Linked DNA regions of Cricetulus griseus. The protein of the gene in region 6 binds, or shares a complex with, the protein of the main gene of each other region. Links are inferred from orthologs where the notes say so. Each region holds a gene or a part of one and is shown on either strand. Other genes may lie near its edges.

Evidence for each region.
Region 1: Polr3g (region 6) and Polr3e share a complex: the UniProt entries of both Homo sapiens proteins name them as parts of the RNA polymerase III complex. The link is inferred for Cricetulus griseus from reciprocal best matches to the Homo sapiens genes POLR3G and POLR3E.
Region 2: Polr3g (region 6) and Polr3c share a complex: the UniProt entries of both Homo sapiens proteins name them as parts of the RNA polymerase III complex. The link is inferred for Cricetulus griseus from reciprocal best matches to the Homo sapiens genes POLR3G and POLR3C.
Region 3: Polr3g (region 6) and DNA-directed RNA polymerase III subunit RPC10 share a complex: the UniProt entries of both Homo sapiens proteins name them as parts of the RNA polymerase III complex. The link is inferred for Cricetulus griseus from reciprocal best matches to the Homo sapiens genes POLR3G and POLR3K.
Region 4: Polr3g (region 6) and Crcp share a complex: the UniProt entries of both Homo sapiens proteins name them as parts of the RNA polymerase III complex. The link is inferred for Cricetulus griseus from reciprocal best matches to the Homo sapiens genes POLR3G and CRCP.
Region 5: Polr3g (region 6) and Polr3f share a complex: the UniProt entries of both Homo sapiens proteins name them as parts of the RNA polymerase III complex. The link is inferred for Cricetulus griseus from reciprocal best matches to the Homo sapiens genes POLR3G and POLR3F.

The regions. Positions count from the first base shown.
Region 1 is NC_048596.1:79,724,956-79,728,455, forward strand, and holds part of Polr3e (DNA-directed RNA polymerase III subunit RPC5), read right to left. Parts: intron 3,342-3,500; coding exon 3,226-3,341; intron 2,852-3,225; coding exon 2,769-2,851; intron 74-2,768; coding exon 1-73. UniProt on the Homo sapiens protein: DNA-dependent RNA polymerase catalyzes the transcription of DNA into RNA using the four ribonucleoside triphosphates as substrates.
Region 2 is NW_023276806.1:59,785,402-59,788,901, reverse strand, and holds part of Polr3c (DNA-directed RNA polymerase III subunit RPC3), read right to left. Parts: intron 3,392-3,500; coding exon 3,290-3,391; intron 3,173-3,289; coding exon 3,123-3,172; intron 2,390-3,122; coding exon 2,240-2,389; intron 112-2,239; coding exon 30-111; 3' UTR 1-29. UniProt on the Homo sapiens protein: DNA-dependent RNA polymerase catalyzes the transcription of DNA into RNA using the four ribonucleoside triphosphates as substrates.
Region 3 is NC_048599.1:54,889-57,588, reverse strand, and holds the end of DNA-directed RNA polymerase III subunit RPC10, read left to right. Parts: intron 1-504; coding exon 505-632; 3' UTR 633-2,200; downstream 2,201-2,700. UniProt on the Homo sapiens protein: Core component of RNA polymerase III (Pol III) which synthesizes small non-coding RNAs using the four ribonucleoside triphosphates as substrates. Can mediate Pol I proofreading of the nascent RNA transcript.
Region 4 is NC_048597.1:109,299,808-109,303,910, reverse strand, and holds the start of Crcp (DNA-directed RNA polymerase III subunit RPC9), read right to left. Parts: upstream 2,801-4,103; 5' UTR 2,617-2,800; coding exon 2,609-2,616; intron 1-2,608. UniProt on the Homo sapiens protein: DNA-dependent RNA polymerase catalyzes the transcription of DNA into RNA using the four ribonucleoside triphosphates as substrates.
Region 5 is NC_048599.1:34,454,945-34,459,210, forward strand, and holds the end of Polr3f (DNA-directed RNA polymerase III subunit RPC6), read right to left. Parts: intron 4,243-4,266; coding exon 4,051-4,242; intron 2,628-4,050; coding exon 2,550-2,627; 3' UTR 501-2,549; downstream 1-500. UniProt on the Homo sapiens protein: DNA-dependent RNA polymerase catalyzes the transcription of DNA into RNA using the four ribonucleoside triphosphates as substrates.
Region 6 is NC_048595.1:302,134,360-302,137,859, forward strand, and holds part of Polr3g (DNA-directed RNA polymerase III subunit RPC7), read right to left. Parts: intron 1,674-3,500; coding exon 1,521-1,673; intron 1-1,520. UniProt on the Homo sapiens protein: DNA-dependent RNA polymerase catalyzes the transcription of DNA into RNA using the four ribonucleoside triphosphates as substrates.

The DNA.
Region 1 (3,500 bases), on a different chromosome or scaffold from region 6:
TCTGCCTTATCCAGGTAGGAGAAGCTGGGCCGAAGCTGTAGGATGCCATGTAAAGGTGTCAGGTGGAGTTCACCTGGCAAAGGAAGAAGGGCTTGAACCTGCCCCTGTAAGCCACAGCCCAACATACCCAGCTTACTCAAAGGAATCACCAAGTCCCCCACAACCAAACCACTGATCCTACTCCAGTCCCAATCTAGCCTCTTCAGCAATACCAGGCTAGGAGGTATTTCCAACTCTTATCTGATCCTGCCAGGCACAGCAAGCACACCCTGGAACAGGAGCCTAACTCTGCTCTGCCACTTCCTTGAGACTTACCTCCCTATACTCCCCAGCACTCATGCCCCTCCCCACCCAAGTCAGGTCTCCTTTCCTCAGCCCTACTGCTCCCTGTAGCCACCCCTCTTCCCCCTTTGCCACACTGCTGCTGCCAAAAGCCCTACTGGACTCCATCAGAGGACAGTCTGGTCCCTATGATCTGTCTTTGTAATAATTATAGCTTCCAGGGCTGGAGATATAGCTCAGTAGTTATGAGCACTTGTTGCTCTTGAAGAGGACCCAAGTCTGATTCCCAGCACCCACATGGCAGCAGACACCATCTGTAATTCCAATTCCAGGGGATCCAATGCTCTCTTCTGACCTCCTCAGGCACCAGGCACTCACACAATGCACATATACACATGCAGACAAAACACTCACATACAAATATTAAAAAAAATGTAAAAAGAAATGTAGCTTCAAAGAGATACAGCCTTGAGGACAGGACATAGTAGCTATGGGCCATTGCTTGTTTTTTGTTTGTTTTTGATTTTTCAAAACAGGGGTTCTCTGTGTAGCCCTTGCTGTCCTAGAACTTGTTCTGTAGACCAGGCTGGTCTCAAACTCAGAGATCTACCTGACTCCCTAAAAGTGTGTGCCACCACCCAGCTAAGACTTTTTTTTTTTTTTGGTTTTTTCGAAACAGGGTTTCTCTGTATAACAGCCCTAGCTGTCCTGAACTCCCTCTGTAGACCAGATTGGCTTCAAACTCACAGATCTGCCTGCCTCTACCTCCTGAGTGTCGGGATTAAAGGTGCATGCTACTTGGGATATGACTTTTGATTCTACTTCCTCTGTATTCAGATCCATGTCACTTGCTGCTCTGCAAACTCCAAATGCTGAATGAAGTGAGCATCTGGCAGATGTGTTGATGGGCTGACACACCCTAGACATTCACCCATTTGAAGCACACGCCTTGACGTAGGTTAACATAGTCTCAGAACTGTGACAACAATGCCATTCTCAACTTCAGCACATTTTCATCACCCCAAAACAAACCTGTCACACCCCACATCATCCTCCCTCTGGTCCTGGGGACTGACAGCTCTATGCCTCTACAGATGTTTATTCTGCAGTTCATAATATGGCATTATGTGGAATGATGGTTACTTGTCGACCTAACACAGTCTAGAAACACCTAGAAAAAGTGTCTCAGTGAGGGATTAAGTTAGACAGTGGGCACGTCTGTGGGCTTTGTCTTGACTATGAGGAAGACCCACCCATGGGTGGGACCACTCCAATGGGCCTGGGGCCTTAGACTGGAGTGAAGAAAGCTGAGCACTAGCATGTGTGCATTCACTCATTGCACACATCTTGACTGTGGACGTAAAGTGATCACTTCCTGCTGCTGTGACCTCCCAACAATGGTGGCCTGTAACTTGGGACTGTAGAGCCAAAAAAACTTTCTCCTAAATTGCTCTCGTCAGGGTGTTTTATCACAGCAACAGGAAAGAAAACTAAAACATGTAAGCAAGCAATCTTTTTATTTATTTATTTTTTGAGGCAAGGTCTCTCTACATAGCCCTGATTATCCTACAACTTAATATATAGACCAAACTAGCCTGGAACTCAGAGATCCACCTTCATGTGTCTCCCAAATGCTGGGATTAAAGGTGTGCCGAGATTAAGTATGAATTATGCCTGGCCATTTGTAGTCTTTTTTTTTGGGGGGGGGGNTGAATTGCCTCTCCCCATTGTGTTTACTGGCCTGGTTTGGTTTCTGTCACACACTTTTTGTTTTGTTTTGTTTTGTTTGTTTTTTGTTTTTCGAGACAGGGTTTCTCTGTGTAGCTTTGGAGCCTATCCTGGCACTCACTCTGGAGACCAGGTTGGCCTCGAACTCACAGAGATCCGCCTGCCTCTGCCTCCCGAGTGCTGGGATTAAAGGCGTGCGCCACCAACGCCCGGCCATTTGTAGTCTTTTGAGCCTGGTTTCTTCCATGATTTTATACACACAACAGGAATCCTTCATATAACCAGATAAGGCTGTTACTTGGATATGCCACATTTTGTTTACTCAAGCATCACTTAATGGGCTTTGGGTTGTTTCCATTCTTTAGGTCTCATGAATAAAGGCCCTATGGACATCTGTGTCCAAGATTTTAAGTGGGCATACCCTCATTTGTCCTCAGTAGATGCTGCCTATGAACAGGATTGCTGGGTTCTAAGTACCCTGTCCCCACCTGTCCCCAATACTATGCTGTGTTGTATATGTGTTCCCACCAGCAAACTGACTTGAAGGCCCAATTCTATCAAGTTGGGAGTGCCAGAAAATCCCCTTTGTGGTGCTTTGACTCCACAGTTTGTCATTTCTATGCTGCCTTGATCCTGTCTGGTTTGGTATTCAGTAGAGGCCAAGACCATACATTAGGCTGGGGAGATCTAGGCTGGGTGAGGTCCCCTAGGCCCAACCCACCTTGTGATCTCCCCAGGGTATAGCCAGACCCAGGTACCTTGCCTGTAGAGTGCAGCTGCATATCGGGCCGTGTTGCTGGTGGTCTGGGAGGAGCAGAAGGTCTGCTTGTCCATTAGCTTCCTGGGAACACAAGCAGAACTAGTATGAAGGGCTACAATGCTCCAGAGAAGCTAGCCAACCCCATTCTATCCTAACATCCTCCAAGATACACTAGCTAGGGCTAAGGAATGAGAAAACTCATAGCTTTGTCTGTGCACCAGGAAATGAATGATGGACTGGGGCTCCAGAGGCCAGTTTCCCTTGTAGCCCAGAAGCACCTGGTGGGACAAGCCAACTTGGGAGGGAAGGTCTACAACCTTCTATGGTTAAAGGTAGAGAGACCTGACATGATGGGGATCCCAGAGAAAGAGCAAAAAGGGCCCCATGCTTCTGAGGCCTCTGCAGACTCCTATTTAACCTTTACCTGCAATAGAACCCTAGGGGCAGGGACTCACGAGGAATATGTGCTAGTCTCATCAGCGCAGGCACCATCCACGTTCAATGCAATCTGTTCCCCTTTGCTGCGGCAGTAGTTGGGATTCACGGTGTCAATGGCCATCTCAAGCTCTACCTGGAGGTACAAAGTACCACCCAACTTGGAAGGTGCCATGGCACAGCTCCCAAGAACACTCCCAGTCAGGTCCCTACCCAGAAGCAAGACTGACCAGTGTCCCTCCTACTGGGCCCCTGGGTTTAAGTCCACACTGAGGTCACCAGTGAAATTTTCAAC
Region 2 (3,500 bases), on a different chromosome or scaffold from region 6:
GATAGATCCCAACACTGCTTTCTTCTGGGTTACTGTCTCTTCATGGTGCTCTCGATGTATGACTCCAGCAAGAAGATGGTTTCATCTACCTGGATCTCACTGGCATCCAACCTGAGGGAAAAAGTGAAAGCATTTGCTTGGGGTTACTGCTCACTAGCATGCTCAAGGTTAGAAGCTGGGCTGGGTGTGGTCATGAAGAATTGCTTATTTATTCCTGAGCATGTGGCAAGAGAGAGAACCAGGAGAGCCTACACTTAAAAGTTTTACTTACAACCATGAGAAAGAAAAGCATATATATGTAAGAGTAGAGGTAAAGCCGGGAGGTGGTGGCGCACACCTTTAATCCCAGCACTCGGGAGGCTGAGGTCCGAGGATCTCTGTGAGTTCTAGACCAGCCTGGTCTACAGAGCGAGTTCCGAAACCATGAGGTGAAGAGTTAGTGCTAATCAGGAAGGGTAACTTTCCCAATCTTATAAAACCAAAGGGGAAAATAAAACCACAGCTTACACCACACTTAATAGTGAAAAACTCAGTTTCCCTCCTTAGATCAGGAACAAAGTCAAAATGTCCTTACAACCTTCTACTGGAAGTCAAGGCAATTAGGCAAGTTAAAAAAAAAAAAAAAGGCAATCAGATTGAAAAGACAGAAGTAAAACTATTCAGAAATGACATAGGAAATCCCTAGGAGCCCATAAAAAATACTAGGATTAATAAATTTACAATTGCCGGAAGGTGGTGACACACACCTTTAGTCCCAGCACTCCAGAGGCAGAGGCAGAGGCAGAGGCAGGCACAAGCCTTTAATAGATCTCAATGAGCTCGAGACCAGTCTAGTTTACAAGAGCTAGTTCCTGGACAGCCTCCAAAGCTATAGAGAAACCCTGTCTCGAAAAAACAAAACAAACAAACAAAATAAATAAAATTACAATTAACAATCCCTGTTAATGAGTAAATGGAAACAAAGATGGGAGTTGTAGGGAGAACAGCTACACAGCTGCAGCTGGCTCTGGAGTGTCTGAACATAGCCTTAATCTGCCCTTTTGGCTTCAGCATTTAACATATGAATTGTGTCTAAGAGTTTCCCAAGGGTACAAAGCCTAAGCAAAACTTGGTTGGGAAAAATCCAGCACACTGTGATATTCCTTAATCAAGAATTTGCATTTGGTATTGTCCATTTGGAAGCTTAGGATGTTTTGGGGATATGGAAATCAACTTGCTAAAGGAGTAAGTTGGAGAACAATAAAAAAGGACCTTTCCTAAGGGAAGGTGTCTCAGTCCCCTACAGGCTGAGTCCTGCAGTTGGAAAGGCTAAAATCATCCTTAAAGTGCCCTGATTGAACCCACACCTGTTCTACAACAGGAAGTATACTGCTATGAAACTATGAAAGGCCTCATGGCACAGCAATGAACTTGGATTTTATATTGTAAAAAGACAAATCAATAAATCATCTCAGCCAGGGGTGGTGGTATACATTGGTAATTCCAACACTTTGGAGGTGTTGGAATCAGTAGATTCAGTTCAAGGCCAGTATGACTATATGAGACCTTTAGTCAAAAAGTGTAACTCCTTCCAAATCAAAGGATGAGCAAACATAAACACAAGCAAGGAAGCCAATAAATCATTTCAACTAGAAGAGTGATGCTGTTACTCACTTCAAAGACAATAAATAACCTGAGGGTTGGGGAGATGGGCCAGAGGGTTAAATTGCTTGCCATCCAAGTGTTAGGACCAGAATACACACAAAATCACACACACACACACACACCTTAAGAGCATTGTGACACATGGTTTGTAGGATCAGGTTACTGCAAAGCTCTAGGCAAGAGGCAACAAAGGACCAAGATGAAACGCCAGACTTGAGGCTGAAGTAAAGTTCTTAGTACTTGGTGAATGACAGTATAGAAAGGAAGCATGATGGCCTCAGAATGGCTACTTAGAAAAACAGGTTGAATATTTTTTTTTTTTTTGGGGGTGGGGGGGAGACGGGGTCTTTCTATATAGCCCTGGCTGACATGGAACTCACTATGTAGACCAGGCTGGCCTCGAACTCATTGAGATCTATTAAAGGATTGTGCTGCCATGCTTGGTAGATTCAATTCTTTTAATTAGGCTAGGAAAGATGATGCTGAGATTAGGTTTGCTCACTGAATCGGAGGAGCGCAGGCTGTGAAGCACAGGCTGTGAAGCACACTTGTTTGAAAGGCATCGTCAAGTACAGTATGAATTCCCACCACTTACTTGTTAACGTTGCGTTTCAGAGTCTCCAGCTGCTGGCGCTCAGGGGCTGTGATCATCTCCTCTATCTCCTGAAGCTGCACCTCCTCTGCACCCGTGGCCTGCATTGATGCAATGATCGCTTCTACCCGCTGAGACTTTTCTAGTAGCCGCCTATCAGACAGACAAAACTGTGAGGTGTGTCCTTAACTTTGAGATTCTCTTGTACTCTATTCCAGAGGTCCAGGTCCCTCCTTTCCATGTTTCATCTAAAGACACTGTCCATAACTTAATCACAAATAGAACCTTGTTCTTGAAACTTGAACTCTGGGGTCAAGCACATGCCTCATAAATTTGCAAAATTATTTAATTGGGGGTATAGTCAACAAGTGTTAACTAAGGCATGGCTATGCCAACCCAAACCTATGACTCAATGCAACTATACTGTGTACTGGGCTACTGTTTTCTTTTCTTTTCTTTTCTTTTCTTTCTTTCTTTCTTTCTTTCTTTCTTTCTTTCTTTCTTTCTTTTTTTGGTTTTTCGAGATGGTTTCTCTGTGGCTTTGGAGGCTATCCTGGAACTCACTTTGTAGACCAGGCTGGTCTCGAACTCACAGAGATCCTTGTGCCTCAGCCTCCCAAGTGCTAGGACTAAAGGCGTGCATCAGCACTGCTTGGCCTACTGTTGCCATTTTTATAGCAAGTTTTCCCTCAGGCTTTGGACCTTGAAAAATGTAAATGAATGTGTTGGGGCCCACAGGTACCAGGTAAAGGAGAAGGGACACCATGTATTCTCAAAGTGTTTTAGTTATTGGTTCAGTGGAAAAAATAGTATAAAAAAAGAGATGTCTGACAGATTGGGGTGGGGGGAAGAGTGTAGATGACCCAGTGGAGAAGAGTTCACTCACTTGTTCTCTTTCGTTTCAAATTGCCGCCTTTCTATCAAGTTGGCTATGCTCTGAGGAGAGAGAACACAGACTAGAAATGTGAACAGTTCTAAGTGGCGTGGAGTGGGCAAGGGAGGTGGGAGGGTGAGGCCATCTGTGAGGGACGGAGAAAGCCCGAATTCTGTTACCTTATAGCACCTGTGCAACAGCATCCTGGCAGCCGACAGTACATTCACCGTGTACAGATAGAAGGTCCTGGATGGGGCATGGTCTGGGGTTTTAGGAATTTCCTGTATGTCCACAGAAATAAAGAGAAATTGTTCTTTGGAACTGGCAAAGTAAACACCCATCCACTGGCACAGTCAGCCCTCATGTTTACTGACACTTCTTTCTTCCCTA
Region 3 (2,700 bases), on a different chromosome or scaffold from region 6:
ATGTGTTCTTGGATTCGATTTGCCAGTATTTTATTTTGCCAGTATTTTATTGAGTATTTTTGCATCAATATTCATGAGGGAGATTGGTCTGTAGTTCTCTTTCTCAGTTGTGTCTTTGTGTGGTTTGGGTACCAAGGTAATTGTAGCCTCATAAAAAGAGTTTTTGCCTCAGTTTCTTAAGTGCTAGGATTATAGCTGTGTGCTACCACACTGGGCAGGTATTTTTTGTTATAGTCTCAGAAAACAGACTATAATAGATCCTTCCCCATGCTATGCTTCCAGCCAGAATTCAACAAAATTTGAGAAAGGAAGTACGATCAGGGAAGTGCTTTCAAAGTCACAGTTCTCTCTGGTCCCGTTAGTATTGGTGTGCTGTGGGCAGAATGTTGCTATCAGCAAATTCAGCATTGGCAAGGAAGTTGGAATGAGCATGGAGATGAGATGTTTACCCACACTTAAAACAGTATTTGTGTAATGTGGATGACTTGTTTTTCTCTTTGTCAGAGCCATGTCCAAAATGTGAACATCCCCGTGCCTACTTCATGCAGCTTCAGACCCGTTCTGCAGATGAGCCAATGACTACCTTCTACAAGTGCTGCAATGCTCAGTGTGGACATCGCTGGAGAGACTAAGGGCAGGACTTACCCAGCTGCAAGCATGAATTTTGTGTGCTGAAGGTCTTTGCTGTATGATAGGAAGCTGATTCTACTGAGGACTAGGGTAGAACAGGCCATCTGCAAGTCAGCAGATAAAAGTCCTTAATGAACAGGGACCTCAGGTCCTTGGGAAATACACATAAGAATATTCACTTGGCTTCAGGTCCTGTTCATTCATCCTTTGTGTTTAGTAGGTAGGTGATATTTCCTTACTACCATTAGTCCTATAAACTTGGTTTATAGCCAAAGATAATCTTAAACCTCCTATTCTTCCTTCCTCTGCATGTGAACTGTGTTCATTTTATGCAATGCTGGGGATTGAACTCTGAGCCTCATTCACGCTAGACAGGTACTCTGACAACTGAGCTATATCTCCAGCCATTTAGTTTTTAAAATAATTTCTATTTATTTATCTCTAGAGAAATTATAAAAATACCCATAAAATCATTGAAAAGCACTTTAAAATTCAGGATTGACATGATTCATCTTTTATGATTAACAATTAAAAAAACTGTTCTGTGATTTGGATTTTCTGGATGATGTTGATAGGAATTTAAAAGTAACCAAGAATATTTTATATTTCCAGCTAGAGAGAATGATCCACAATAAAGCCTGTGCCTAGCATGTGCAAAGGTCTGTGTTTGAACCACATTCAAAAATCTATTAAAACTTGAATAAATTTAGAAAAGTCACATATTTATTGATACTACTAGTGAGATTACTCTGTATAATGGACATATTTTCTATGTTGGAAGCTCTGATCGCTTCCATGCAACTGGTCAGTCATATATATGATAAAGAGTGCAGATAGTAAGGCTATCTAAAATAACAGTGCCCTTCTATGAACATAGCATTTCTGACATTTTCAAAGTCCTTAAGTGGAGATAAGGATGAGTAATTCACAAAAGGTGACTTTGAAATCTTTGATCTATGGTTGTTTTCAAGCCTTTGGAACTTCACTGATCATCTCCTTTCACTAACTCTATTACAAAGGAGAGTCACACAGTCTTTGAATGAGGATGTATTTGAGTATTAGATCACTTACCTAGCATATGATAAGTTCTGGGCTCAATCCTTGGTACTGGATGACAGAGGTGTGGAGGAGAATGATAATTTTTACTTAAAATAAAAGTAAGTAAGGGTTAGGACATTGTCACATTTCTGGTGAGAGTGGAAGTCAGTACCAGTTCAATAGTTTCTCAGGGCAATAAGGCAATGGCTATGAGTATTTTAAAATGCTACCCAAGGGTGACACAAACATGCAGTGCTATCACTTGAGAGGCAGAAGCAGGGGTATTGGAAGGTCCAGGCCATCCTGTTATTGGCAGCAGGAGTTGGAAGAGAAGACCTTAACAACAGTATATTTGGTTTAGGGTTTGGTTACTTGGTGTTTTGGGTGTTAAGGAGGTAATTACATTTATTTGTTCTTTGTTTCATGGTAAGGAAGTCTTTTGCTTTCCCCTCTTTTGATTGGGGTATATAAGGGCTTTGAGTAATAAACTTGGGGCTGATCCTAGTATTTACTGGGTGCCCTCCCCACTCTATGTCTTATCTATTTCTTTCCTTAATCCATATTCCTACTGACAAGCCAGCAGGACCAGACACTACACATCACTGGCAGCACCCCCAGAGACCTCTACTTAGGCAGAGCTAGGATATCAGTGGATAAAGTGCTTGTTGCAAAATCATGAGGACCTGAGTTCATATAATTGGCATGTAAAAGCTCAGGGTTAGGATTAGTGTTAGGGTTTAGGAGTTAGGGTCAGGGTTGGGGGGTTAGGCTTAGGGGATTTGGGTTAGTGGGGTTTAGAGTTATGATTGTTAGGTTTGGGTTTAGGTTTAGGGTAACTCAATTAGATTTAGGCTTAGTGTTAGGGTCGTTGTTATGGTTAGGGTAACTCGGTGAGGGTTAGGTTAGGGGTTTAGGGTTGGAGTTAGGGTTAGAGAGTTAGTATTGGGGGTTAGGTTTAGGGTTGGTGTTAGACTTAGGGGGTTATGGTTAGGTTGGCTTTAAGGTTTTGGTTAGAGTGTATTAGGGTTAAGT
Region 4 (4,103 bases), on a different chromosome or scaffold from region 6:
CTGTACATATTCACTGTGTTCCCTTTTAAAAGGGCCCTGCCTACCTCCCATCCTTTCTCTCTTTCTTTCCCTCCCTCTCTGTCTGTTTCCCCCTCCCCCATTCTTCTCTCTCTCCCTCTTTCCTTTTTATCCCTTTCCTTTCTCCTCTCAACTGCTGCCCCTGTCTCGGAAGCCAATCTCCTCCTTCCCTTTCCCCTATAAAAAACCCCTCTGCTTGAACCCTGTGCATGGCATCTTTCTCTCGTGCACCGCTTTTCTTAAATTACAACACTCCTAAGACGAATAAAACCCTGGCCCCATCCCCAGCACTGCATAAACAGGGTATGGTGTAATACACCAGTAAACTCAGCAATGGCAAAGTAAAAGCAGGAGGATCAGAAGCTCAAGGCCACCCTTGAATGGGTAGTAAGTTCAAGGTTAAGCTAAGCCTTGGGTACATGAGACCCTACTACAAGGGGTGGGGGGTGCTGGAAAACAAGAAAAGGACTGTCTGATGACTGGTAGGGAATATGCTAGATTTTGTTTTAAACAATTTGACAGAAAATGAGGGACAAAAAAAGAAAAAAAGAAACATTTTGAGGAACCACCATCATATAAATGAATGTATACCAAGAATGGGAACAGAAAGTGTCCCAAGAAGATGAAGCACTAAGATGCTCAATAACATTGAGACCAGCAAGGGAAGAGGAGTAACAAAAGAACTCCCAGCAGTAGGATGGAGAGGGAAATTCAGGGCCATGTCAGAGAGCTGAGCATTGCCAGGGTGTCTGACAATAGCTACTCAGATGGAGAAAGCTGAACCAGACAGCCTGAGCTACACAGTGAGACCCCCCCCATACAAATACTAATCTGATGTGGCAGCTTGAGAGGTGGAGACATAGAACTTAAGATCATCCTCTGCTGAATACCAAGATCAAAGCCTGTCTGAGCTACTTATGACTCTGTATTAAAAAGTCTGACAAACTGTAGTATATATTACAAGTGAACAGAAGGTAAAGAACAATGAATGATAACACAATTTAGAGCTGGGCGTCGGTGGCACACACCTTTAATCCCAGCACTGGGGGGGGGGGAGGCAGAGGCAGACGGATCTCTGTGAGTTCGAGGCCAGCCTGGTCTCCAGAGCGAGTGCCAGGATAGGCTCCAAAGATACACAGAGAAACCCTGTCTCAAACCACCCCCACAAAAAAAAAAAAAACCCCACAATTTAGGTATGTCATCCAGGGATATATAAAGTCCACAGGTAGAATAGATGCAAAAACTTACATTTGCACATCAAAAAAGAAAAAAAAAAACAAAAAAAAAGAAGAAAAAAAACAGTATGGAGAAAAAACTGTCAAGATGGCTTTGCTGGTGGGAGAGTAACTGCCTAGAATGCTCAGGATGCTACCATTCCAAACACCACTATATGATGATGGGCACGTGGCTTAGTGCTAAAGCACTTGCCTAGCACCCTAGTGTCCATCCCCAGCACCACAAAACAATTAACAGTACACTGGAAGGCAGAGGCAGGCGGATCTCTGTGGTCTACAAGAGCTAGTTCCAGGACAGCCTCCAAAGCCACAGAGAAACCCTGTCTCAAGAGAAAAACAAAGAAAAGAAGAGAAAAGAAAAGAAAAGAAAATGAGGAGTTGTTGTTGTTGTAAAAAGCCAGAGAGTGGGCTGGAGAGATGGCTCAATGGTTAAGAGCACTGACTTTTTCCAGAGGTCCTGAGTTCAATTCCCAGCAACCACATGGTGGCTCACAACCATCCCTTATGAGATCTGGTGCGCTGATATACATGGAAGCAGAATGTTGTATACATAATAAATAAAATAAAATCTTAAAAAAAAAAAAAAAGCCTGAGAGTAAACCGATAGCAGAATTTTTGAACGGGTTCTGTTCAGGTTTCTGCCTTGAGTTCCTGCCCTGACTTCCCTCAATGATGAACTGTGTCCTGAAGTGTAAGATGTAATAAATAAACCCTGTCAGGCGGTAGTCGTGCACGCCTTTAATCCCAGCACTCAGGGAGGCAAAGGCAGATGGATCTCTGAGAGTTCGAAGCTAGCCTGGTCTACAGAGCGAGTGCCAAGACAGCCAGAGATACACAGAGAAACCCTGTCTCCAAAAAACCAAAAGATGTAATAAACTTCTACCCCGAAGTTCCTTGTTTGGTCATGGTGTTTTTCACACAACAGAAAGGAAACTAGCACACCTTTGTATGTTCACAGCCCTGGGTATCAGTATCACAAATAACGACGGTGGTAACGGCTAGGGTTGCAGCCTTTGCCTGGCATGTGAGAAGCCCTGGGTACCAACTCCAGCATTACAAAATGATGATGATGGGGGGGGGGGCAGACGACTGCGGAGCGCGTGCAAGGTCTTGAGTTTCATACCCAGAACCAGGAGGAAAAACAAACAAGCAAACAAAACTCATTGCTCCTACACTCCCCTCCCTCAAAGAACGTGGGTTGCGGGACCAGCAGGATCCCTCCCCAGCCGCCCCACCTCCAGATACTTCCGGCCCGTCCACTCCGCCCTCCCGCCCTGGTAGCGGGTGCGGAGGGTCGACCACCAGCCGTCTCCGGCCCCCAGATGAGTCGGGTTGCCCTCGGACATGCGGCTTACACTTCCATGTCGCAGCCGCTTCGTCCTGCGCAGCCGCTGGAAGGGAACGGCCTCCCGTCGTGCCACCGCCGCGGAGCTCTCGGCCTGCGTGTGCGCCGCAAGCCACTCTGGGACGCCGTGTTGCATGCCGGGATCGCTGTAGGGAACGCCGGGCTCCTTGCGTCGTACGGATTTCGAATTTCAGCCTCTGGAGGCAAAATTTAAACTTTTTTATGGTCTAGGTTTTGTTAGGGTTTTAATAAGATAAGGTTCCTGTCTTGGACGCTTTAAAAATCTCCAAGCCAGTCAGTTCGCAGCTGATATCTCAGCACTAGAGAGATTGAAGCAGGGGGATTGCCACGAGTTCCTGGCTAGCCTGTGCTACAGAGTGGGTTTCAAGCTATCTTGGGCTATTGCAGACCACTGTGTAAAAAAACAAAAAACAGGGCTGGAGAGATGGCTCAGAGGTTAAGAGCACCTTTGGCTGCTCTTCCAAAGGTCCTGAGTTCAATTCCCAGCAACCACATGGTGGCCCACAACCATCCGTTATGAGATCTGGTGCCCTCTTCTGATGTGCAGATATATATGGAAGCAGAATGTTGTATACATAATAAATAAATAAAATCTTGTTTAAAAAAAACGCACAGGCACACACACACATACCAATCAACCAACCAAAACCCCCAGAAGCCAGCCAGGCATGGTGGCGCACGCCTCTAATTCCAGCAAGGGAAAAAAGGGAAGGTAGAGGCTAGCACATTTTTGTGAGACAACCTAGGCCACACAAGAAACAGAGAGAAAGGGAGAGGGAGGGAGAGAGAAAGAGAGACACCTGGAGAGATGGCATAGCAGTTAAGAGTACTTCCATTTCTAGCAAAGGATCAGGAATTGATTCCCAGCACCAACGTGGTGGCTCACAACAACCTGTAACTCCAATTCCAGAGGATCCAAGGCCTTTTATATAGCCCCCGCCAGGCACACATGTGAAGTATATACATACACACAGACACTCACAGATACACATAAAATAAATCTTTGGCTGGGTGCTGGTGGCACATGCCTTAAATCCCAGCACTCAGGAGGCAGAGGCAGGTGGATCACTGTGAGTTCGAGGCCGGCCTGGTCTACAGAGCGAGTACCAGGATAGGCTCCAAAGCTACACAGAGAAACCTTGTCTCGAAAAACCAAAAAAATAAAATAAAACTTTGAAAAAAGAAGAAAGGGGGTTGGTGGCGCATGCCTTTAATCCCAGCACTCAGGAGGCAGAGGCAGGTGGATCTCTGTGAGTTCGAAGCCAGCCTGATCTCCAGAGGGAGTGCCAGGATAGGCTCCAAAGCTACACAGAGAAACCCTGTCTTGAAAAACCAAAAAGAAAAAAAAAAAAAGAAAGAAAGAAAGAAAAGAAAAAAGGTTGGACCTGCTGGCCCATATCTGCTATAATCCCAGCATTTGGGAGTTGGAGGCAAGAGGATTAGGGATTCAAGATCATCCTCCCAACAGCAAGTTCAAGGCCAGA
Region 5 (4,266 bases), on a different chromosome or scaffold from region 6:
AATTGGGAGTTTCACGTGAGAATCCATGAAAAACCATTAAGTGGACTTATGTCAATTTGTTTTGTTTTTCCGAGACAGGTTTCTCTGTGTATCCCTGGCTGTCCTGGAACTCTCTCTGTAGGATCAGGCTGGCCTTGAACTCAAGAGATCCGCCTGGACCTGCCTGTCTCCCAAGTGCTGAAATTAAAGGCATGCACCACCATGACTGGCAATGTCTAATTTTCTTTTTATGGGCCACTTTTAAAGAGACTAGAGTATATGTTCTCAGGTAAGCAAAATACGTAATACTGAGAAAGACTGAAGTATCTGGACTTCATCTGCAGTTTTGCTTTGTGGCACCATGATTTTAGAGGCCAAGGATAACAGCTTATTTCTGTAGGCAAATTCATTTTATTTACAGCACAGTTGCTACATTTTGTTATATTTATCTATCCCTTTCAGTTAATAGATTAAATAATATGCTACAAAAACTACCCAGTAAAAAAAAATGCTATGAAGAAAACCTTTTCAAGTACCTTTTTATTCTGGTGAGGCAAGGGACACAGCAAATTTAAAACTTAGTATCTAATTACCAAGATAATAGAAAGCCAGGCATGGCTGCTAAATGCCTGTAATCCCAGCACTTGGGAGGCTAAAGCAGAACCACCATAAGTTCAAGGCCAGCCTAGACCATAAAGTGAACTCCAGTGTAGAGTAAGACTCTTCTCCAACAAAATAAAACAAAAAGACAGAATACAAGGGTGGAGTGTGAACCCTTTCAGTTGGCCCATGTTTCACATAAAGAAACTTTTAAGACACAAAGTAAAGTAGACATAGTAGAAGAGTCCTTTAATTCCAGCACTCAGAGGCAGAGGCAGGTGGATCTCTGAATTCAAGGTCAACATGGTCTAAAGTTTCAGGATAGCCAGGGCCATACAGAAAAACTTTGTCTCAAAAGAGGAGAGGGAGAGGGAGAGGGAGAGGGAAAGCAAATATCAACCACTGAGATCCATAAAAGGCATATGGCTATCTTCTGTGTAACAGCACGACAATTAGTGTTTTCCAGTGCCCAGTGCTGGGACTAACAAACTACAGTGATTTTTTTTCTGCTTAGACACAGCACTCCATGTTTTTAGAAAAGAAGAAGAAAAAAGGAGACCGATCTAAAATACTGTAAAAGACAGGTTCTCACCCCTCAAAACGAAGGGCAATGATCTACTGTTATTTTTTGAGACAGGGTCTCTTTCTCTATAGCCCTGGCTGTCCTGGAACTCACTATGTAGGCCAAATTAACCAAGGGTCTCAAATTAACCAAGATCTACCTACCTCTGCCTCGCAAGTACTAGGATTAAAAGAGTGCACCATCATACCCAGCTAGTTTTAGTTTAGTTAAAATATTAGATACTATCTCTTCTATCTGCTTTGATAGAACACAATAGATCACTGGTTTTCAACTTTCGTAATGCTGCGACCCTTTAATACAGTTCCTCATGTTGTCCTCATCCCAACCATAAAATTATTTTTTTTGCTACTGTGTAACTATAATGTTGCTACTGTTATGAACTGTAAAGTAAATGTCTGTTTTCTGAAGATCTCAGACAAACCCTTAAAAGGGTTGTTCAAACCCCAAAGGGGTTGCAACCTACAGACTGAGAACTGCTTCTAGCTGGGAAGTCGAATGTGCTGGTAGATTTACTGTCTAACAAGGGCCCACATCCTTATTCTTTCCCCTGTGCTCTGGAATGATAAAGAGCCAACAGAACACTTTGGGTGTCTTCTATACAGGCCCTAATTCCACTCATGAGGACTCTACACTCACGATCTGTCACCTTCCAAAGGTCCTACTTATCACATCGCACATGGGGATTAGATTACAAAATTTGAATTTGATGCTGATGGCAGAGAGGGTCAAACTATAGGCATGAAGTAAGAATCTGGAAAAAATTCTGGCAAGTAGTACAGTTAAGCCATACAGAGAGATTTACAACCTTAACAACAAAGGAGTTGGGAGATTATCCCCTTTAGGATGGACTACCACTGATCTAAACTCCTGTCCTGGACACAAAGTCAGTGTGGCAGCATGCTCTCCTGAAACAGTGCTGCTGAAGTGAAGAGGAATGGACAGTGTGGAAAACGGATGTCCACTTTACATTCAGGCCCCAAGTCTGCACACATCCCATCGTCAGCTGTTCCTCTCAATGAAACCCAAGAACGAACCAACAGAAATGGTGATAATAAACCTGATATGATGAGTTTCAATGAAGACATTAACAAGTAACTTTACATGTCACCTTCACGCTCTATCTGTTATCGCAGTACTTGGTCAGTGTAGGTTTGCTGGCTTCTTTTCCAGAGCTTCAAGGTATTTTCTTGAAGAGACTTCCCTATTAAACTTTATTAAACTTCATCTGCTTTGTGTTCTGTCTTCGGAAATAAATACGTTTTCATAGCAGCAAGTCAGTATCCATCATAGAGAAGTATGCTTTCAAAGAAACTGGATGTTCTATCATGAATTATTTGCTCTCCAAGTAATTCATTTGCCAAATGTAAGTAAAATTCACAGCTCTCTATTAAAATTCGAGCCACTCTGTCATGTAAATACAATTAGATGGTGAAATCTCACCACCTTCATGGCAGTCATCAAAAACCTTAAAAAGAAACACAAAAAAAAGTTCACATTCAAATTGAAGCTTTTTTGTTTTGTTTTTCGAGACAGGGTTTCTCTGTAGCTTTGGAGGCTGTCCTGGTACTCCTTCTGTAGACCAGGCTGGCCTCGAACTCACAAAGATCCACCTGCCTCTGCCTCCCAAGAGCTGGGATTAAAGGCCTGCGCCGCCACTACCACCGGCTTCAAATTGAAGTTTTAAAATACCTAAACCCCCATTGATTTAAAGCAGTACTAACACAAGAAAAAAAGAAAACACTATTTGAATTGGATTAGGACTGTATTTAGGAGCACAATATAACAGTGCCTACCTTGTGATCATAGTCAACTTTTTATAAGCTTTTTGTTTTTAGCTTGTTTTTGTTTTTTTTGAGACAGTGTCTCACTATATAGTCCCAGCTGTCCTAGAACTCCCTATGTAGAACAGGCAGGTCTGAAACTCACAAAGCTCTGCCTAACAAGTGCTGGGATTAAAGGTGTACACTATCCTGCCTAGCTTGGAGGCCTATTAACACATCATAAAGGTGATCCCATTCACCTGCCCACTGGTAAAAGGCTATCAGCTGGTTCATAGGAGTGAAGAAAGTGAGTCCTATACTTATGAACAACTTAATTTGTACTAAATTGAAGGTTGTTTTATGCTTAACTATCTTTACAGGGTGTAAAGTAGGATGTACAGGATGTTGGCTTTTGTTTAGGAGTTGAAACTGGGTCACAGAGAGCTTATAGGTACAGACAAGGGTTATCATAATGAATATGTCAGAATAGCAGCCCAAGAATATAAATGCCACAGGGATAGGGAGTGCTTTTGCTCTCTGTAGCCTCAGGATGTCCAGCACCGTGTTTACGAACTACCTAGGAATGAATGAGTGAAAGTGCTAAAGCATAATGGAAAAAAAATTATACTTATTCAAAGTGATACTTTCTGCTTAAGTCTAAGTTCCTTCTGTTCTGGGGGGAGGGCACTAGGGGTTAAAACCTGGGGCGAAAGGCCATGTGTATACTAAGCATGTGCTCTGCCACTGAGTTACACTCAGCCCTAAGTTCTCTCACTCCTTAGGGGAAATAACACCACTAGTGCCCTGGGCACAGAAGGATTAGAATAAGTTTGGCTCGTGGCAGCTTTTGAACAAATTTCATTTCCCTCCCTACAGAGAAGAAATGGTTAGTCCCGATGAAAATGTATCCATTTCAGGGTCAAGAACAGAAGGACATGTCCCTACCCTGAATGCTCCAAGAAATAATGTAAGACCTGTTCATTAACAATCTGTCTATCAAGAGTCTGTGGCAGTTTGAATAGCTCAGGTGACACTTGCTGGTGGGAAGCCTGGTGTGCCTGTTGTTTCTTTATGTGGCATTTGCACATGGTGGTGATAAAAGTACAAAATGAAGCAGCTTTTACTTACGGGGCAGAGTCCACAGGGTGCCCGGACTAAGCCTGTAGGTGGGAGGATTGGGTTGACTGCCCTGTACAGTTTCATGTGTCCATCTACACTGCCGACAGTGCCTTCCTTTGCAGCAATGATCGTCATCTCCACTTTCCCATCATAAATGAGTGTGTTCAGGATGGTTTCTATGTCCTCCATAGACAACTCTACCTAGAGACGGGGACGTTAGAAAGC
Region 6 (3,500 bases):
AACTGATAAAAACCTTCCATAATGTAACAGGATACAGGATTAACTAAAAAAAAATCAGTAGCTTTCCTATATACAGATGACAAATGGGCTGAGAAGGATATCAGAAACATCTCCTTTACAATAGCCATAAATAACAAAATACCTTGGTGTAACTCTAACCAACTAAGTGAAAGACCTGTATGACAGGAACTTCAAGTCTTTAAAGAAAGAAATTAAAGAAGATATCAGAAAATGGAAAGATCTCCCATGTTCTTGGATAGGTAGGATCAACACAGTAAAAATGGCAATCCTACCAAAAGTAATCTGCAGATTCAATGCAACCCCCATTAAAATCCCAGCATAAATCTTCACAGACCTTGAAAGAACAATACTCAACTTCATATGGAAAAACAAAAACCCAGGATAGCCAAAACAACCCTGTACAATAAAGGATCATCTGGGGGCATCACTATCCCTGATTTCAAGCTCTACTATAGAGCTATAGTAATGAAAATGAAAAGCTTGGTATTGGCATAAAAATAGACAGGTAGACAAAAGGAATTGAATCGAAAACCCCAATATCAACCCACACACCTATGAACACCTAATTTTTGACAAAGAAGCTAAAAATATAAAATGGAAAAAAGAAAATAGATTGAACAAATGGTGTTGTATAACTGGCTGTCAATGGGTAGAAGAACGCAAGATCCGTATTTATCGCTACGAACAAAGCTCAAATCCAAATGGGTCAAAGTCCTCAATATAAATCCATCCACACTGAACCTCATAGAAGAGAAAGTGGGAAATACACATGAACGCATAGGCACAGGAGACCACTTCCTAAAGAGAACAGCAGTCGCACAGACTCTGAGAGCAACAATTAATAAATGGACCTCTGAAAACTGAGAAGCTTCTGTAAAGCAAAGAACGAGATCAACAAGAGATTAAATATGTTAAATGCAGATATACAAAACAGTAGAAAGAGAACTATAGACATCACAAAAAGGTGAAAAAAATAGAAAAAATATTGATTCTAAAATTGAAGTGAAGCAACCTAGTTTACCAATACCTCGGCAGCTGTCACACTGCTTCTGTCCACATGAACTTGGGAATTTGAGACATGATGGCCTTGTTGGGATTTCCTTCTAGACGTATGTGCCTATGCCCTTTGGTACCTCAGCTGCTGTCTTAGCTTCTTATGTTGGTAAGTATGAACTGTACTACTCTCATCAATTTCCTTAATTCCTTACTTGCAAAAGCTGTCAATCAAGTTACTCTTATCTGCTGGTTTTCATTTTGTATTACTATCATTTCATACCAAGCACCTGATGCCAGGATAAGAATGCATTTTTGGTTCAATAAACTTAGGGTTTTGTGTTTGTGACAAGGTCTCACCTTGTAGCCCCAGCTCCTCAAACCCCTCGCACCCTATTCTTGAGTTTGCTAGTATTACAGGCGTGGTTTTGTATGCTGACTGACATTCCATGCCATAGGATATCTCTGAAGTTAGGGAGCAGCTCTCATCATCCTCAGACTTTTACCTCCTCTTGTTCCTCTTCATCGTACTCCTCTTGCTCTGCTTCATCATTGTCATCATCATCATCGTCATCGCCATCTTTATTTTTCTTTTTGCTCCCTTCTTTCTCTTCATTCTCTTCATCCGATTTTTCACCATCGCCTCTCTTTTCTAGTTCCTGGTAAAGGGAGATTCATTAATTTCCACTGAAACAACTATTCTTACATACCCAGCCCAAAGAGAAGAATTATGGATCATTTTAGGCTAATCCTAAATTAACACACGCCCGCCAGCCTCCCACCTCAGAAACTCAAGGAAAGGTCACCCACCATGCTGTCCCATTCTTCAATTTTGTGACTTAATCATTGGGCTTTGCTAACCTGGGGTTAGAATTCTAATCTACAATGCTTGCTTTTCATGTTTCCTATCCTACCTCCTCCTAAAATGTGTGGCATGATTTAGTTTATCCCCTTCCCATCTCCTTTGTCTTTCATTACTTCCCATTCCCAAGATTTTCTGCTTCGTGATACATCTGGAAGGTTGTGAAAAGGGGATTAAAACGAAAGTAAGTGAACACACCAGCCATTATGAGCCATCCTAGAAATAAGGAAGAGAAACAGAGTTGGGGAGTCTTGATGATTCTATTGATACTTGAAAACTCACCATGCCACAACCTCACAATTTGAATTTTATAAACACCTCATGACTGCCATTTTTTTTTTTCAATTGACAAAGGTGACCCATTTTTATTTCTGTTGCTCTCAGTTCACTAAGTTAGATGACCCTCACTTTACATAAGGGACAGAATTTCACAGGTTTTCTGGGAGCTGGGTACAATAATCATTTTGCATCTTCATAATTTAGGCTTCACATGACTAATTTCTGATTGGTCTTAACCCAGTAATTAGAAGAGTAACTAATAAAAATGTGTAGGCATTCTCCATCTCTCTTTAAGACTTTGTCAATTACTCATGAACAAGAAAAGCTATTTTACATCCAGAATAACTTCAACTTAGCTCTTCTTTAACTCCCTAAATATTTACTTTAAAAATTCTTTTAAAATCCCAGCACTTGGGATGCAGAGGCAGGCAGATCTATGTGAGTTTGAGGCTAGCCTGGTCTACAGAGTGAGTTCCACGACAGGCTCCAAAGCTACACTGAGAAACCCTGTCTTGAAAAACCAAAACCGAAACAAAACAAACAAAAAATTATTTTAATTCCAATTTTAAGTGAAGAAAATCAAAGGCAAAGAAAAGGCCACATTAAACAGACCCAATTTAAATGGATCACCTTTGAATGTTTGTATATGTGTGAATGCACGGGTGTGCATTAATATGTTCGTGTGTGTAGACATGCATGTGAAGACTGGAAGCTGACATTGGATATCTTCCTCAGTCACTCTCCATTTAATTTAGTAAAACGGGTTCTGGCTAGTTTTGGCAGCCCGTTGCTTGCCTTCGGGATCCCTTCTCTCTGTTTCCCAGGTGCTGGGATTATAGGTAGCTACAGGCTCACCTGACGTTGTGTGCATGCTGGGGCTTGGAGCTGCAGTTGTTATGGTTGCACAGTGAATGCTTTATCTATTGAGCCACCTCTTAAGCACATAATACTCAATTTTTAAATAAATCAAGCTATCTTGCTTGCAACTCACCTCACTCAAGCAGACCAAATTAAAATCAAACCTTGTGTTGCCTTGGCAGTTATTACAGCAATACCTTGTGTACAATTTCTCAACTGTCAATTTTCTTGGAAAATCTCAAGTGAACAAAATTTTCACAAACCTTTGATATATCTGACACACTCACGATGCTACATTAATATTAATTAATATAAGGTATTGTGCATTTTCTAATTTAACTAAATCGTAAGTAACAAGGCCTATAGCTAAATTCAATTATATAATTTATTTTACTCTGTGAAAAATATATTCTGTGATCTGGAAAGACAGCCACTAATTATTTCATAATTATAAACTAAATAGTTTTATTAAAAACAAAAACAAATA